Oryctolagus cuniculus: one gene and its partners. The protein of the gene in region 1 purifies or fractionates together with the protein of each later gene. This does not show direct contact. Links are inferred from orthologs where the notes say so. Each region holds a gene or a part of one and is shown in the gene's direction. Other genes may lie near its edges. The genes, in order: OGDH, PDHA1 and DLST.

Evidence for each region.
Region 2: the proteins of OGDH (region 1) and PDHA1 fractionate together in Homo sapiens (co-fractionation; 3 studies listed by BioGRID). This does not show direct contact. The link is inferred for Oryctolagus cuniculus from reciprocal best matches to the Homo sapiens genes OGDH and PDHA1.
Region 3: the proteins of OGDH (region 1) and DLST fractionate together in Homo sapiens (co-fractionation; 3 studies listed by BioGRID). This does not show direct contact. The link is inferred for Oryctolagus cuniculus from reciprocal best matches to the Homo sapiens genes OGDH and DLST.

Annotation. Positions count from the first base shown.
Region 1 is NC_091447.1:51,952,037-51,957,853, forward strand, and holds the start of OGDH (2-oxoglutarate dehydrogenase complex component E1), read left to right. Parts: upstream 1-1,964; 5' UTR 1,965-2,067; intron 2,068-2,371; exon of another isoform or gene 2,372-2,510; intron 2,511-5,817. UniProt on the Homo sapiens protein: 2-oxoglutarate dehydrogenase (E1o) component of the 2-oxoglutarate dehydrogenase complex (OGDHC). Participates in the first step, rate limiting for the overall conversion of 2-oxoglutarate to succinyl-CoA and CO(2) catalyzed by the whole OGDHC.
Region 2 is NC_091453.1:5,375,640-5,381,529, forward strand, and holds the start of PDHA1 (pyruvate dehydrogenase E1 component subunit alpha, somatic form, mitochondrial), read left to right. Parts: upstream 1-2,297; 5' UTR 2,298-2,433; coding exon 2,434-2,490; intron 2,491-5,890. UniProt on the Homo sapiens protein: The pyruvate dehydrogenase complex catalyzes the overall conversion of pyruvate to acetyl-CoA and CO(2), and thereby links the glycolytic pathway to the tricarboxylic cycle.
Region 3 is NC_091451.1:20,942,091-20,947,980, forward strand, and holds the start of DLST (dihydrolipoyllysine-residue succinyltransferase component of 2-oxoglutarate dehydrogenase complex, mitochondrial), read left to right. Parts: upstream 1-2,271; 5' UTR 2,272-2,331; coding exon 2,332-2,394; intron 2,395-2,932; coding exon 2,933-2,966; intron 2,967-3,878; exon of another isoform or gene 3,879-5,414; intron 5,415-5,890. UniProt on the Homo sapiens protein: Dihydrolipoamide succinyltransferase (E2) component of the 2-oxoglutarate dehydrogenase complex. The 2-oxoglutarate dehydrogenase complex catalyzes the overall conversion of 2-oxoglutarate to succinyl-CoA and CO(2).

The DNA of each region.
Region 1 (5,817 bases):
CCCCGGCTTGGAGGGCCTGGTCTTGGCCCAGAAGAGAATGCAGATGCGAGACACAGCAGTGGTCAGCAAGGCAGCAAAGCTGAGAGGAGCACTGGTCGGAGCCAGCAGGTGCGCAGGGAAGAACCGAGCGCTCACTTGGTGACGAGTACGTGACAGCGCAGGAGGGCGGCCCAGCAAAGGGCTGAGCCCTGTGTTCAGACTGCAGTCCTGTGGGCAGGAGTACGGGTTCCCTCCTTCTCCCTGCCTCCCTCTTGTGGGAAATTGTGGGTGGGGAGTTTTCTGGGTGTGGAGTTCCCACAAATCCTCCTAGGACCTCATGAGCACAGTGTTGTGGACCTAATGGTCCCCTTGGTGAAGGGCAGGGGAGTTCCCCTGCGCTGGCCCCTGGGAGATGGTACAACTGCTGGGCTGTTTGCAGGGTGTTTCCTTGTTCCACTGCATATAAGGCTTTCTTTAAAAACGTTCATTTTCAGGGGTGGTGCTGTGGCTTAGCAGGTAAAGCCGCGGCCTGCGGTGCCGGCATCCCATACGGGCGCCTGTTCAGGTCCTGGCTGCTCTACTTCTGATCCAGCTCTCTGCTGTGGCCTGGGAAAGCAGTGGAGGATGGCCCAAGTCCTTGGGCCCCTGCACCCACGAGGGAGACCAGAAGAAACTCCTGGCTCCGGATCAGCCCAGTGTTGTGGCCACTTGGGGACTGAACCAGCGAATGAAAGGCCTTTTCTCTCTGCCTTTCAAATAAATAAATAAATATGTATTTTAAAACACTCATTTTCTGCAGCCCCTCTTTGGCATACGCTACTATGCACCTACCTACCTTAACAAATTGGCTTCCAGGGTTCCTGGGGGGATTAACGATAAGGAATTCTGAGGCTACGGCTGGGGGTTAGAGGCAGGTGCGCACCCAGGTGGCCCTCCTTTGCTGGGTCAGCAACAGGCCGGGCACCTGATCTTGAGGGGCTCCCTCCATTTGAGGCCTCCATGTGGGACCTGGGACCCAGATGTTGTCCGTAGAGGGCACAAAGGAGGCCGGTGCCGCGGCTCACTGGGCTAATCCTCCGCCTGCGGCACTGGCACACCAGATCCTGTCCCGGTTGCCCCTCTTCCAGGCCAGCTCTCTGCTGTGGCCCGGGAGTGCAGTGGAGGATGGCCCAAGTGCTTGGGCCCTGCACCCCATGGGAGACCAGGAGAAGCACCTGGCTCCTGCCTTCGGATCAGCGCGGTGCGCTGGCCGCGGCGGCCATTGGAGGGTGAACCAACGGCAAAGGAAGACCTTTCTCTCTCTCACTGTCCACTCCGCCTGTCAATAAATAAATAAATTTAAAAAATTTAAAAAAAAGAGGACACAAAGGAGCTCCTGCGTCTGGCGACCCGGGACGCCCGTGGGGTCGGCGGGACCACCACTCCCTCAACTCAGTCCTCACGGAGGGGCTGCTCTGCGACCAGAGGCCGGAGATTCGCTCCGTCAAAGCCGTCCCAAGGGCTTGCCTCAGTACTTGACGAACCGTAACTCACCGGACGTCATCAGTTTGGAAAGACTTTTCCCCAAATCCTAACACTCTGAAAGGGGCCCATCAGCGTTCTATCTCGGTCGAGGGCTCTGGGGCCAGGGGCCGGGTGGGCCCCTGCCTTCTGCACACTAAGGGTGGAACACTCAGAATAGCGCAGCCGAAGCGCCAGTCACAGAGCCTGGCGCAAAATGGGCGCCTACTGGCGCGGACTTTGTTGCTCAAATTCGACCCATTTCACCGCTCTCGAATTCCCAAGAGGCTTAGGAAACACGGCTGTCAGGCACCGGGCACTGAGGCCGAGGAAGCGGCAGCTGAAGCCCACCCGTCCGTCCTGCGGGCCCGAGCACAGGCCTGGGTTGCAGCAGCCGGCGCCCCTACCCCACCGCCCTCAGAGTCCGGCGCGCTTCTGTGACGCCACGACGCCAACTCGTGGAAGGGGCGGGGCTCCTGCTCGGGGCGGGGCTACGTGCTGACGCCACGCGCCGGGGCGGGGCCGAGAGTTTGGTGCCCCGGAGCGGGGTGTCGGCGCCTCAGTCGGGTGGAGCCGCGCGGGAGACAGGTAACCGCGCGCCGCTGCGGGCTGGGGGCAGGGGCCGGGGGCTGCGGCGCCCGCAGGCTCGAGTCGCTGGTCACGGCGAGGGTGGGGCCCTGCGCCCTTGGAGCCGCGGGCAGCTTGGTGACCCGGAGTGGAGTAGGACAGAGCGGGCGGACGGGGCGGTGGGAGGGGCGCGCCTGACGAGCGGGCGCGGCAGCCAATGGCGCGGCGAGGCCCGTGGGGGCCTGGGTGGGCCCCGGCGGCGGAAGTGGGGAGCGGCGGCCAGGGTGACCCCCAAGGTCGCGCGGCGTCACGTGTCGGGCGGCGGAGAGGGCGTCCCGTGCGCCCCGCGTGCCTGTGGCGAGCCCGCGGAGGGCGCGCGCGTCCTTGAGCGCCGCGCGGGGCGGACGGAGCCGCGTCCTCGGGCTTCGGGGGGCCCTGGCACGTTTCGGCGCCGCGTTCTTGAGGTAGCGCCTCGCGCGCCGTAGGACGCGCCCACGTGAAGTGCGCCATTCCGCGTCCGGAGTGAACCGCTCGCGGGCGAGACACGAAGGACTCCGGAGTGTTGGCAGAGCGCAGCGAGGAGCTGGGGGTGCCGCGGCGCGGGCTGGGGAGCCTGGTCCTGACGCGCGGTTCCCAGGGGCTCTGCGTGCGTGGAGCACTTGGTTTTAAAATGTTGAGGCTTATGTAAGTCAGGGAACCTACTCCGTTGGTCCGTTCCGTGCGGGTACAGGGCGCGGAGTCCTGTACCCACTTCTCTGCTTGATACGCTCTGGAGACCACAGCCGAAGACTGCCGTTGGTCCAGGCCGGGATGCGGGGCGTTTCTGCCGCCGCGGACCCGGTGCCTTCTCGTACCACACCCACCGCTTAGCGCCCTGCGGTGGCCTCGATTCGTGTTGGGAATGCAGCAGCCGGACGTGCCGGCGAGTTCACCCAGCTGGCCGCTGGCGTCTCTGTTTCCCTCCAGGCTCTGCGGTGGGCTTCTCTCTTCCTCCGCGGAGGGCCGTGGCCATCTGGGCTGGCGCTCCCGTAATGCCGGTTTACTTCCCAAGGGCTGGTGATAGGTCAGGCACAGCCCGGGTTTCCCACGTGAGTGGCCGGAGTCTGCTGGACCTGTGGCCGCTGCCTCGCAGGTGTGCGTCAGAAGGAAGCTGGGAGTGCCCGAGGCGTTCTGGTGTGGGCGGCAGCTGTCGCCCCGGGGCTAAATGCCCACTGCCTCTTGTGCAGGTTTCCATGTGAACAAAGTTGACGTTTCTCTGAAATAAGTTACCGGAAGTGCGATCCACAAGTCAGAGCAGCTGCGTGTTGAATCTAGCAGAAATGGCCAGCTTCCTCTGTGGACTGGCCGCGCACTCCCCGCAGCAGTGTGTGTGATCCGGCTTTTCCACAGCTGCTGACGCTATTTTCTACGTCGGCCGTGCTATTAGATGTGTAGTGATGTCTCATTATGTCTGTAATTTGCACCTCTCTGGTGGCGAGTGACGTTGACCATCTCCATGTGCTTGTTTGACATCCTTGTGTTCTCTTGGGTGAAATGTTTACTCATAGCCTTTCCTTTTTTTTTTTTTTTTTTTTTTTTTTCTCTAAGATTTTTGTATTTATCTGGAAGGCAGAGTTACAGCGAGAAAGAGCGAATTTTCCATCTGCTGGTTCACTCCCCAAGTGGCCACAGCCAGGAGCCAGGAGCTGCTTCTGGCTCTCCCACATTAGTGTAGGAGCCTAACACTTGGGCCATCTGACGATGCTTTCCCAGGCCGTTAGCAGGGAGCTGGATCAGAAGGAGAGCGGGAACCACCGTGTGGCGTGGCGGGGTAAAGCCCCAGCCTGCAGTGCTGTCATCCCATGTGGGCGCCGGTTCTAGTCCCGGCTGCTCCTCTTCTGATCCAGCTCTCTGCTATGGCCTGGGAAAGCAGTACATGTCCAAGTCCTTGGGCCCTGCACCTGTTTGGGAGGTCTAGAAGTTGTTCCTGGCTCCTAGCTTTAGATCAGCTCAGCTCTGGCCGTTGGGGTATCTGGGGAGTGAACCAGTGGATGGAAGACCTCTCTCCATCTCTCTGTAGCTCAAATAAATAAAATAAATCTTAAAAAAATAAAAAAAGAAGTAGAGCAGCGGGACTCCCAGCTGGCACGCATATGGGATGCCTGTGCTTCAAGCTGCGGCTCTACCCACTGCAGCGCTCGCCCCATGTTTGCCTGTTTTGTAATTGGATAAGCGTTGAGGTTTGGAAATTCTTTGTATATTCTAGATAGCAGGTCTTTTTGGATGTGTATTTTGTACATATTTTTTCCTAGTCTGAGCTTGTCTTTTCATCTTTACTGCATCTTTTGCGGAGCAAAAGTTTGAGGGTTTTTTTTTTTTTTTTTTTGAGGTTTATTTATTTGAAAGAGTTACACAAAGAGAGGAGGAGAGAGATCGATCCATCGATCTTCATCCTCTGGTTCACTCCCCAAATGACTGCTACAGCCGGTACTGAGCCAAGCTGAAGCCAGGAGTCAGGAACTTCTTCTGGGTCTCCCACATGTGTGCAGGGACCCAGCACTTGGGCCGTCTGCTGCTGCTTTCCCAGGCACATTAGCAGGGAGCTGGGTCGAAAGTGGAGCAGCCCGGTCCTGAGCCAGCGCCCAGAGGGGATGCCGGTGTCACGGGCAGCAGCTTTTACCTGCTATGAGCAATGCCAGCCTCAAGGGTTTTAGTAAAGAAAAAAATTATTTTTAAGATTTAATTGTTTTATTTGAAAGGCAGAGTTCACAGAGGGAGAGAGATCTTCCATCTGCAGGTTACTCCACAGATGGCCACAGTGCCTGGGGCAGGGCCAGGCCAAAGCTAGGAGCCTGGAATTCCACCCGGGGCTCCCACAGCACATCAGCCCGGAGCTTTATTGGAAGTGGAGCAGTTGGGATTTGAACCTGGTGCTCATACAGGATGCTGGTATTGCAGGTGGCAATGTGGGTCCCCATTTGATGGTCCTTCACTTTGATGAAGTCTGGTTTATCAGTTTTGCTTTTGATTAGATTGCGCTTTTGCTGTCAGATGTAAGAAATTTTTTTGTTGAGCCCTAGTTCCTGAAGGTTTTATTCTGTGTACTTTTCTGGAAGTTTTATGCTTGTGCTTTACATTTAAATTGATTAATTTTGAGGTGATTTATGTATATTGTAAAGTTTTTGGCCTTTGGTTTTTCTGCTTGTGGATCTTTAACCAGGACCATTTGTTAGAAAACATCCTTTCTCCACAAAGTGGCTTTTGCACTTTCGTCAAAAATCAGGTGTGGGGCTGGTATAGCAGGTTGAGATGCCACATGCGACGTCCGGATGGGAGCTCGGTTCAAGTCCCAGCTGCTCCACTTCTGAGCCAGCTCCCTGCTGATGCACCTGGGAAAGCAGCGGAAGATGACTCAGGTGTTGGGCCCCTGCCGCCCATGTGAGAGGCCCAGGTGGAGTTCCCAGCTGTGGCCATTTGGGGAGTGGAGCAGCTGATGGAAGTTGTCTCTGTCTCTCTCTTAACTTTGCCTTCCAGGTAAATCAGTAAATCTTAAAAAAATCAGGTGTGTGACTGTTTCTGCGTCCTCTGTTCTGTTGATCTGTCTCATCACCAGTGCCACCCAGTGGGTCTTGAAGTCAGGTAGACTGATCTTGTGTTTTATTCCTTATCAGGATTGTTTCTTGCTAATCTGGTCGCAGCGTCTCATGCACACTGCCTGGGGACCCTGGGGGACACACTTAGCCTATCCGATCCACCACAGCCGTGTTGTCTGTTGCCTTTGCATGTTTTGTA
Region 2 (5,890 bases), on another chromosome or scaffold:
CATGTGTATGCATAGAGCCGACAGGGCTCCTGGACGCACACAACCAATGTCAGCTCTATGCAGATGACTCCCAAATTTATATTTCTAGCTTGTGTCCTAGACTTACAACTGCCACTTGCTGGGGGACAACTTCGGGGAGCTGTCCCACCACTGCCTGCAGGCCAGCAGGTCCACAAACGGTCAGGCCGGCTTCTCTAAACTGGCCATCTGGCCTCGCACTCTTCTCATTCTCCTTTCTCCAGCTTCCACATTCTGGCAGCAGCAGCATCTGCGGAGGCCACGCTGGGCAGCCTGCTTCACTGCCATCCCGTCCCTCTCAGCCTTTAGGGAGCGCTCATCGCGTGGCAACCTGGTCATGGAAGTACAAGTGTGAAGACGTACCAAGTCCTCTACACTGTTGCTGTCCACCCAATTTTCTGGTCTCCCTCCTGCACATTAGAGGAAGTGATATGTGTTACTTCTGGCAGAAGCTTTTTTTTTAAAAACAAACAAACAAACAAACAAATATGTCTTACGGGTTAGATCATTCTTTTTTTTTTTTTTTAAGAAAGATTTGAAAGGTGTGAGTGACAGAGGAGGAGGGGAGGCCTTCTATCTGCTGGTTAGTAAATGGCTGCAACAGCCAGGGCTGGGCCAGGCTGAAGGCAGGAGCCCAACACATCATCCTGGTACTCGGGCCATCCTCTGCTCCTCTGCTGCTTTCCTAGGTGCATTACCAGGGAGTTGGATTGGAAGCAGAGCAGTTGGGACTTCAGCTGGTGGTTATATGGGATGCTGGCATCGCAGGCATTGGCTTAGCCCACTCCACCACTACGCTGATCTCAGGCAGAAGCTCTGAGAGCCATTCGAAGTGACAGCTTTTCCCTTCACCGTGAGACAAGCTAAGTTCCAGACAGAGGTTGCTCCATCACTCAAGGTTCCAGAGAAATGACATGGAGTGCAGTCCCAGCCAAGCTGTGGAAGTTGTGGTATGAACAAGCTAAGTCACTTCATGTTTTTTTTTTTTTTTTTTTTTTTTTGACATGCAGAGTGGACAGTGAGAGAGAGAGACAGAGAGAAAGGTCTTCCTTTTACTGTTGGTTCACCCTCCAATGGCCGCCGCGGCCGGTGCACTGCGCTGATCCGAAGGCAGGAGCCAGGTGCTTCTCCTGGTCTCCCATGAGGTGCAGGGCCCAAGCACTTGGGCCATCCTCCACTGCACTCCCTGGCCACAGCAGAGAGCTGGCCTGGAAGAGGGGCAACCGGGACAGAATCCGGCGCTCCGACCGGGACTAGAACCGGGTGTGCCGGCACCGCAAGGCGGAGGATTAGCCTAGTGAGGCGCAGCGCTGGCCAGTCACTTGATGTTCTTAAAGAGACTAAAATTTGGGGTTGAGTGTTACAGCAACATAACCTAGCTCACTCTAAATCAGTCCAGTTTCTTCCTAACTCCTTGAGTCATTCCTCGCAAGTCACAGTCTAAGCCCCTCATCATTGTGACCGCCATCCTCTGGATGCCACTCATTTTTGTCATTATCCTTCTTTAAATGGAGCCAATTCAGAACCCAGAACCTTAGGTGCAATTCCAGCAGGGCCCAGCAGGATGGGTTTCTGAGCCCTGACTCCTCTCTACAGAGCCCAGTTGCTTTGGAGTCTGTTTCTCTGTGTCCTTTTATCTTTGGCTGTGTCCTGCTGTTAACTCTCTTTGAGCTTCTGAATCAGTAAGTAGAGCCAAAAGGTTTTTCCCACTGACTCCTCAGTATTTAGTTGGGGAATCAGCAGCATTTTACAACTGTTATGTGATCCTTTACCTATTTGTTTTTCTTTGAAAAGCAGAGCGCACCCTGCTAGGCAGCAGGTGACGGCTCCGCTCTAGTAGTTGGATCCCTGCCAACCACGTGGGAGACCAGATTGTATTACGTGATCTTTTAAAGCCAAGTTAGTGGCAGAATCACTTACAAAGACTGTACCGTCTATCTTTCGGCCCCGGCTAGGCTGCTAATCTTCATCATCTCGTGTGCAGAGCCAAGGCTGCAGTTACAGCACCAGCAGGACCAGCCACACGTCAGGACCAGCCTGAAGGCTACCACCGTCGTCTGCGCAGAATCCAACCAGAAGGCTGGAGGCGGGGACCCACTCTCCCACGCAGGCGCCTTCAGATAGTCGACCCCTCCCTCTCCCGCCGCATGGTGACGCGAGGAAGCCGCAACTCCGCCCCCCATGGCGCCGACACACAATGGGTGGTCGCAGGCCTTTCAAGTGGGCGGAACACAGCCTGGGAGCCGTCCTGGTTGGCCCGCGGCCCGGCGCGGCGCATGACGTCATTCCGACGCCACGTCGCGTTGCGTTTAAGGCGTGGCTTCTGCTGGGGCGCCTGAAGGAGACTTGGGGTCGGCTTAGCAGTTCCCCTTGGGCAGTTTGGGAGTCGCCGTTGTTGCAGCTTCTTTGCGCTCCATGAGGAAGATGCTGGCCGCTGTCTCCCGCGTGTTGTCTGGCGCTGCCCAGAAGCCGGTGAGGCGGCCCGAGCCAGCGGCCTGGACGGATCGGGATGGAGCGCGAACGGGACCGAGGCGGTGCCGGAGGAGGCCGAAGGGCGGGCCGGGCCTCGGGGCTCGCAGTTAGACGCGCTGCTTGGATTGGGCGCTGAGTAAAAGATGCGGCGGGGAGCCGGGGGAGCTGCGGGCTTTTGCTTTTGCCTCCACGCCGTGCATTCTGCGTCTAGTCTCGGGGGGGAACGGCGCTGGGCGGCCGACTGGGGAGGGGGGGCAACCCCTGCCGGGTCCGCGTGGAGATCGGTCACGACTCTCCGGCTCTCCCCGAGCCCAGCTCCGCGCGGAGCGATTAGGTGTGCTCGAAAAGTGCCCGTTGGTTGCAGGGTATGGAGGGGGTGCCTTAAGCTTGTAAGAGTCTTCACTTGACCCCACTCATTTCAGTTCTCCCTAACTTAATGTTTGTCTTGGCTGAGAGGTCCTTTAGTGGGTGTTAGTAAAGAGCGTGGAATCCGGAAACGAACTGGCTGGAATTCAAACAGCAGTCCTGTGAGCTTGGGCAAGTTTTGAACGCCCCCCCCCCACCTTCCACCCCGCCCAGTGTCCTTATCTCTAAAATGTATATGAGGGTACCTACCTCGTGGGGTTGTCTGAGGATTCTACGAGTGACGCGTGCGTAAACGTTTCCGACTAGCACCTGGCACATAGTGGGTACTCTGTGTTGACCGCCCAGTTTGGTGTACGTTTGTGGGTGTCTGAGGGTTTAGACGTGGTCACGCTCCCCAGGAACCCACTTCCTCTCCGGCTTAACTTTTCTTGGCAGTGGAAAGCGGTCCAGCGGAACCCACAGGAAACTGCTCTCCCCCCTTAAGTGCGGGGGGGGGGGGACGTACACACATCCCCTTAGGGTAAAGGTGGCTAAAGGAAATCGCACTTAAGCTATTTGCAGCCCCAGTTTTCAGATGCGCCTTTCACCTGAGCTGCTAGCATTTTGACCTCTGGGCACAGTGAGATGGGGTTACTTGGTATAACTGCAGAGCCAAGCTTTGACTTGTAATTCCGGTTCTAGTAATTCTCCCAGGACTCGATGCAGCTGTGCCTAGTCTGGGCAGAGGTTGTCAAAAGGTAGCGGCTGAACCCCTCTAGGAATCCCATTTACTAAGATTTACAGGAGAATTTGATTGATCAGAACTGTATTGACCTTGGAATTGTACTGGGATTGACCTGATGGCGAAGCACAAGGGGCATTCCTTTTTTCTGCCCACACGCAGGCTCCAGCCACCATTTCTTGAGCTCGCAGTATGTGCTAGGCACTAGTAGATACCTCCCAGCTTTATCTCGTTGAATCCCCTAGCATTGGTTTTTAGTGGAAAAACAGCAGTAGAAACGTGTTTGCAGCATTGTGCAGTGCTTTAGTTATCTGCAGAAGTTAAGTGGCCTTTCCTTTCTGCTGTGAGATTGGATAGACTAGAAGTGCAAAAGCAGTAGAAACTTTGTTATTGAAGCTTCGCACTTAGTGGAAAGAAACAGTTTCCCAGGAACTTCAAAGTTAAACTTGGGAGGTGTCAAGAATTTGAATTGCGATTGGAAACTAATAGATAAAAAGTTTCCACTGTCAAACCTTGCTAGCAGAGTTTCTGCCTTTTCTCTAAGTCATCCCTTTTGGTGATACCGGTTTGTAGATGTACCAGTACTTAGGGGCTCAGAAACACCCTTAAATCGTTATTATTAGGCACTCAGGTTTATTCTTTTCCCCTACCTTCCAGTAGGAAAAAAAATTGAGTTCCAGCAGTCAGGTCACCCTAAAGTACCCAGGCAGCTTCCCACTTGGTGCAAACTCTACAGATAGTTTTCTGTGTGACTATACGTGTCACGTGCTAGTCAACTAGGAGGCATTTCTGAAACTTCTGAAGATGGTAAGGACCAGATGTTTCACCTTTATCTTTTTAAAGGATGGAGTAATAAACCAATGTGTCAGGGTTTACACATTTTATTTGAAAGGCAGAGATGGACTGAGAGAGATCTTCTGTTTGCTCATTCAATATCTGCAATGGCTGGAGCTGAGCCAGCGGGAGCGGGAGCCAGAATCTTAGTGTAGGTCTCCCATGTGGTTGGCAGGAACCCAACTATTTGAGCCATGACTGCTGCTTCCCAGAGTACATGTAGCAGGAAGCTGGACTTGGGAGTGGAGCTGGGTCTTGAACCCGGGTACAGTGGGATTCAGGTGTCCCAACCAGCATCCTAACTGCTATGCTAAATGGCCAACCCCTGAGAATAACTATATTTTGTGATTTTTTTCATACTTATGGATGTCTTTTTATTTAAATATAAAAAACAAAATAATCAAGGTTTTTACTTTCATATATATGTAAAAATATTTTTTGCAAATAAGCCTTTCAAAAATCCTGATAATAATCAACTGCGACTAACCTAAATTAGGCAAATTGGGTACTAGAGTTGCACCATCTGTGTGATACTCAGAGAGGGAGGGGATGGAGAAAGGTCAAGTGGTTCGTTTGATTGATGGTTGTGACACTTTATCCACATTGTGCCCTATCTTGCCTTCCAGAACTCTGTTTTTTCCCCTTTTCATTTTTTTTTTCTTTTCTCCTCTTAAAACCAGGGATGTATGGTGATTTATCTCAGGCTTGTCGATTATCATTGTATCATGACATGTTTGGCAGGAAACTTTGAATGAATTACAAGCTTGTGATTTATTTTTGAATTAAATTGATAGTTTTAAAAATTCTTATAGAAGACTGAATTGCATTTAAAATCATAATCTTTGTCTTAGTGTTTTTATTTGTTGCGACTTCTTTTTTTTAAAGAGGTTTATTTGAAAGGCAGAGAGAGAGAGAGAGAAAGAGAAAGAACTGCTAGTCATTGAGTCTCTCCTCAAATGGCCACAACAGCCAGGGCTGGGCTGAGCTGAAACCAGAGCTGGGAACTCCATCCAGGTCTCCCATGTGGGTAGCAGGTTTCCTGAGCACTTGGGCCATCTTCCGTTGCCTTCCCAGGTTTATTAGCAGGGTGCTGGATCAGCCAGGACTCAAACTGGCATTCTGAAACAAGTGTCAGCCTGACACTGCCACAGCACTGGCCTCAATGACGTGAGATACTTTTTTTTTTTTTTTTTAAGATTTATTTATTAATTTGAAAGAGTTGAGGAGAGAGAATCTTCTATCTGCTGGTTCACTCCCCAGATGGCTTCAACGGCTGGGGCTGGACCAGGCTGAAGCCAGGAGCCAGGACCTTCTTCCAGGTCTCCCACTTGGGTTGTGGGGCCCAGGCACTTAGGCCATCTTCCACTGCTTTCCCCAGGTCATTAGCAGGGAGCTGGATCAAAAGTGAAGCAGCCGGCACATGAACTGGTGCCCATATGGGATGCCAGCATCATAGTGGCGGCTTAGCCCACTACACAA
Region 3 (5,890 bases), on another chromosome or scaffold:
CTGTTCTTGGACTCCTTGTGTGCCTAGCGTGTCCCAAGCATGGGACTATTCAGTCATTTCACAAGTGTTTACTGGGAACCTAAGAGAACCAGGCTCTGTGTCACAGCCAGAGGATCAGGAAAGTAAAGAGAAGTTTCGTTCCCAGTTTCTGCTCTGCCCAGCGGAAGCAGCGCATGATGGCACCACGCAACACAGAGGCACAGGCACCTGCTTTGGAAGCCCAGAAGAAGTAACTGTTGACTCTGCCAGAGGGGTTAGGGAGGGTTCCAGAGAGAGACTTACAGGGTGATTACAGGCCCGCAGGGATGATTACAGGAGGGCGGGGCTGCGCAAAGAGCGGCATCTGTGGGAACGGGAGGGGCATCGGTCGAAGAAGCCAGATTATCAGGTGCCTGGTCAAGTGGCGGAGTTGAGACTTTGTCCGACAGACACGGAGAAGCAACCGAAAACTTTAGGCTGGGGAGCGACAGGATTAGGTTTGCCTTTCAGGATCTTTGACATAGGTGTGAAGGAGAAGCTAGAGAAAGTGGGAGTGTGGGGCCAGCGCTGTGGTGCAGCAGGTAAAGCTGCTCCCGGCTCCCTGCTCACACGCCTGGGAAAGCAGCAGAGGACGGCCAAAAGCTTGGAGCCCTGCACCCACATGGGGGACCCGGAAGAAGCTCCTGGCTCCTGGCTTTGGCCTGGCCCAAATGCAGCCATTTGGGGAGTGAACCAGTAGATGGAAGATCTCTCTCTCGCTCTCGCTCTCACTCTAATTCTGCCTTTCAAATGAATACAGTAAATCTTAAAAAAGAGCACGAGAGTGGAGAAAGAGTGCTCAGGGAGCTTCGGAAATAATCCAGGTGAGGGAGACCGAGGATTGGTCACAGCGGCAGCGGGGCACGGATTTTTCCCTGCAGGGTGGACAGTGAGAGAGAGAGACAAGACAGAGAGAAAGGTCTTCCTTTGCTGTTGGTTCACCCTCCAATGGCCGCCGCGGCAGGCGCGCTGCGGCCGGCGCACCGCGCTGATCCGATGGCAGGAGCCAGGTGCTTTTCCTGGTCTCCCATGGGGTGCAGGGCCCAAGCACTTGGGCCATCCTCCACTGCACTCCCGGGCCACAGCAGAGAGCTGGCCTGGAAGAGGGGCAACCGGGACAGAATCCGGCGCCCCGACCGGGACTAGAACCTGGTGTGCCGGTGCCGCAAGGTGGAGGATTAGCCTAGTGAGCCTCGGCGCCGGCTTTCCCTGTGTCTTAAAATCTGAGCTTGAATCATCGCCCGCTGCCTCCCGGGGGGGTCCTTGAGAGAGGAAGCAGAATTTGAACCAGGCACTCTGACACGAGACGTGGGCATGCAAGGCAGGACGTGAGCACCGCGGCCGATGCCTGCCCTTTCTTCTCCCGATTTCTGGTTGCATTCTCCGCCCCCCACCCCCAGTGGTACTTTCAGCACCTGGAGAGTCCTGACCAGGTAAGCTGCTTCAGGTGAAGACACCAGAAGGCACAGGCACAGACCACTCGGTCACACTTCATCAATTACCAGTTCAGCCGCAGGTTTATAAACCGCCGTCTCTATCAGGCAGGTGATGATCCATAACATTCAGGGGCCTGGGGACCTAAGGGGCGGCCACGTGGTTTCACTTAGGGAGCAGCAGAGCAGTGTGCTGACGGCAGGGAGGCCCGGATTCCGCCCACAAACTCTGCGCACCTGAGCTGTGCTGGGGTGCAGCAGCGAACAAGACCGAGTTTAAACTCCAGGTGATAGGAGTTCACGTTCTCAGGGCGGGGCCAATTTCCAAAAATGTGCGGCATGTACAGGAAACAGTTTGGAAGGAGAGCTTGAGGGTGTGTGTGTGTGTGTGAGGGAGAGAGAGGGAGAAGCCTGATGCTCTGAGAGGCAGTGACACCTGCCCAAGGCCACACAGGTGTAAGATCAGGCAGCCACGTATGCCAGGATCCGAGTTCAAAGCCCGTGCCTGCTTTTTGCTCTCTCTTCGTGGGGCAGGGGGCAGAATGGCTAGGTACCCCGGGGTCTCAGACAGAAGAGGGCCAAATTCCGAGCCAGCTCCGGGGAATGGCCAGGGAACGCTCGACCCCGGGGGCCCTGCGGTCGCCGACAGTCGTAGGCACCCTCGAGAGGGCTGTCTCGGGCAGGCAAGCAGGCAGCTCAGTGGCCACCACAGCCTGCTCTGGAACGCCGGACCCCGCGCCGCCCAGCCGCCCCCACCACCCTCGCCAATGGTTCGCTCCGAACACCCCTCGCAGCGTGGCGGGTGCTGCGGCCCGCCCCACTTCCGGTTGTTGCCGGGCCCTATATCCGGTGTCCGCCCGCCCTCAGCGCTGCTGTCGCGATGCTGTCCCGGTCCCGCTGCGTGTCCCGGGCGTTCAGCCGCTCGCTCTCCGCCCTCCAGAAGGTATGGTCCGGCCGGGCCGGAGCCTCGGCGGGTGAGCAACCTGCTGATGGACAGACGGGCGGCCGGGAAGGCGGGGGCGCAGCGCGCCTGCCAGGCCCGGCACCAAGGGCACTGGGACGCAGAGGCCGCGGGCTGGCCGGCCCGGGACCGCCTCGCCCTCGGGGCTGTGTTTCGAGGCCTGCGGGGCAGGCCTTCCCGAGGCACCCGCACCGACCGTCACCTGCTGCCCCCCGCCCCGCGCGCCGGGGCTGGGGAGCCGCTCCCGTCCCGACATCGGACGGCCTCTGCTGGACACTCGGGGGCCCGTCCCGTCCCTTCTGTTGAAGCCCGGGGGTGTCAGTCAGTCCCGTGGGGAAGTTGGGACGGTCGGGCGGACGCGGTGTGCCGGCGGGGTCCGCGCCCGTCGCGGCTGTCCGTGGAGTTGGGAGATTGCCCGTCCCCAGCGCCGGGGCAGCTTTGCGTGCGCGCTTCGCAGGAGGAGCGGTTTCTCCCCTCGTTTCACCTCGGGTGACGTCGATGATGTCTTCTTTCTCAACAGGGGAACTGCCCTCTAGGGAGACGCTCCCTGCCTGGTAAGTTCTGCGCCGGCCGTCGCCTGACCCGCTCTCCTCCCGGGGCAGAGCGGCGTGTACGGCCACAGGCAGCCCAGTTGCCGCCTGTACCCGCAGCGTCACGGAGTGTTTGCTGTGCGCCAGGCCCCTGCCAGCCCCTCGCCCAGGACCCAGCAGCCCGCAGGCCAGTGGGAAAGGCCAGATGTGCACGCACTACCCATCAGATGAGCAGGCGCGAATTTTGGTTCGCGGGGTTGGGGTGGGGAGGACAGGGGCGCCTGCTCCGAGTAGGTGACATCGAGTCTGCATCCTGGAGGATGTAGCCGGGGAGAGCAGGAGGCAGAGAGGGAGTAGCTTGTCCAGTCCCCGGGTAAGGAAGGAGGCTGGCAGTGCTTGGGAGCTGGAGGAGAAGGGGGTTCGGCCAGGCATTTTGGTTAAGGGGGAGAGTGCCGTGAGATAGCAGACGGAGTCTGCATTGTTGGAAGGAGTTTAGTTTTTTATCCCTTTTTTTCTTATTTTTTGGGGGAGATTATTAGTAGTTTATCTTATATAACTTATCTTTAAAATTAGGTGCCTTGTATATTTGTTGGATGAGTTAGTTTTATTGTAGGCTTTCATTGTACCAGATATTCTCACTGCGATCTGTGCGTATTTTAGTTCATCATCACAAACCTGAATGAGAAGTATTATCTCTATAAATGCATAACCCAAGGCAAGAAAGGGTAAGTGCTTTGGCCAAGGTCACTCAGCCAACTACTGGTCAAGCCAGGCCTACCTGACTCCCCAGCTTGAACTCTTACTTTTTTTTTTTTTTAAAGATTTATTTATTTGGAAGGCAGAGTTAGAGAGGGAGAGATAGAAAGAGATCTTCCATCTGCTGGTTCACTCTCCAATAGCCACAGCTGCGCCAGGCCAGAGCCAGGAACTTCACCTGGGTCTCCCACGTGGGTGCAGGGACCCAAGCACCTGGGCCATCTTCCACTGCTTTCCCAGGTGCATTAGCAGGGAGGTGGATCTGAAGTGGAACACCTGGGACTTGAACTCGTGCCCTTATGGGATGCCAGTGCTGCAGGCAGCTGCTTAACACTGACTCCTCAGCCTAAACTTTTTTTTTTTTTTTTTTAAGATTTTATTTATTAGAGAGCTAGAGTTATAGACAGAGGGAGAGACAGAGAGAAAGGGTGTCCATCCACTGGTTCACTCTCCAAGTGGCCGTGATGACCAGAGCTGGGCTGATCTGAAGCCAGGAGTCTGGAGCTTCTTCCAGGTCTCCCACGTGGGTGCAGCACCCAAGCACTTGGGCTGTCCTCTGCTGCTTTCCCAGGCACATTAGCAGGGAACTGGATTGGAAGTGGAGCAGCTGGGCTCAAACTGGCACTCATATGGGCGCCTGCTGGCACTGCAGGCCATGACTTAACCCACTGTACTACAGTACTGACTCCTAGCCTGAACTCTTAATCCATTATGTTCTCATTTACTCATGTACTCAATAAATGGTTTGAGTGCTACTACAGTGCCAGCCCCTGTGCCTGGTGACAAGGAAACAGCAGATGGTCTCCACATTCGAAGATCTTAGGCTGGCTGGAGAGAGCGTGAGCAGATGTTTGTGCACACGTAAGGACATGATTGCATTGTGGGTACTCAGAAGTCCAGCTTGATGAGACAGGGGATGATGCAGTCCAGCTTGGGAGAGTAGGGAATGCTGATAAAGGCTTCCCTGAAGAAGTGACATTGAAGCTGAGACTTGAATACGTAGAAATTAGCCAGGTAAATGATATTTCAGGCAAAGGGAATTGCTCTGTCGAGGTTTTTAGGCAGGCTGGGAATTGCCCTATTAGGGGAATGGAAAGAAGCCTACCTGGCTGCAAAGTTAGGTAGGACTGGATGGTACAGGACTGTGCAAAGTGTTTGGACTTTATCCTGAGTCCTGAGAATGTGAGACACCAGCACTGTGTCAGTTCCTAGCAGGCGCTCAGTGATGAACTTTCTCTACTAGGAATCCCGAGAAATGTCAGTAAACATTCTCCTCTTTATAGACTGGCAGGACAAGGGGGGGACCCTTGCACGTGGGGTTGCATCTTGGCTGGGCATTCACCCGGGGTAGTCAGTCAATCCCCGGAAGCCCTGCTTATATATGAAAAGCAGTGAAGGCAGGTGGTTGTACGACTTCAGAGTTGCTATGAGCCTTGAACATCAAAGTAGGTCGTTACGTGCAGCTTTTTATAAACCCTCAAGCACTGTGCGAATGAAACCTGCTGTAGGATGAACTGTAAATTAGACGTGGTTCCAGAAATCAGTGTGGGCTGCTGGCTGTTCCGTTTCAAGGATACGCTGCTTAGTCACTGACTGCCAGACATGGAGGGGACTGACCGGACTCTGGGCGTGTTTGCGAGGAGGTGGGCTTGAGAGGAAGCTGTCTCTCATTTGGTGCCTGCTGAGCCCATCATTCAGGAGGAGTTGTTAATAGACCTAAAAAAGAAGAAGAAGAAGAAAAGACGTAAGAAAATATATTTGAAGTAGCCATAGTTGCTAGCCATCAGGTAGGGAAATGCAGTTATCCCCATGAGGGCAGTTGGTGGGCAGAAAGGGGCTCGCACCTTGTAGAGAGGGACCAGAACGGCCACATGCAGGAAGGCGTGTGGGAGGAGGCTGAGAGGTGAGGAAATGATTTGCTCAGTCCTGGAACAAGCCGGAGGCTGTGGCCCTAAAATGGCCCCGTCTTGCTACTGGAGTTCAGGCAATAAAACTTCCAGCCCAGTCCACTCTGAGCCAGACCTAATACTCCGCTGCTTCTCACATTAGGTTATGTGAAGTTGTAGGATAAGCCGTCATATGTCTTTGTCAAGCTTCAGTCATTTTGAACAGAGGAATAGAGACATTTTAATGTGAAAGCATACAGGTACCCCTGTATGTTAGGAGTTTTTCAAGGTGAATAAGATTATAAA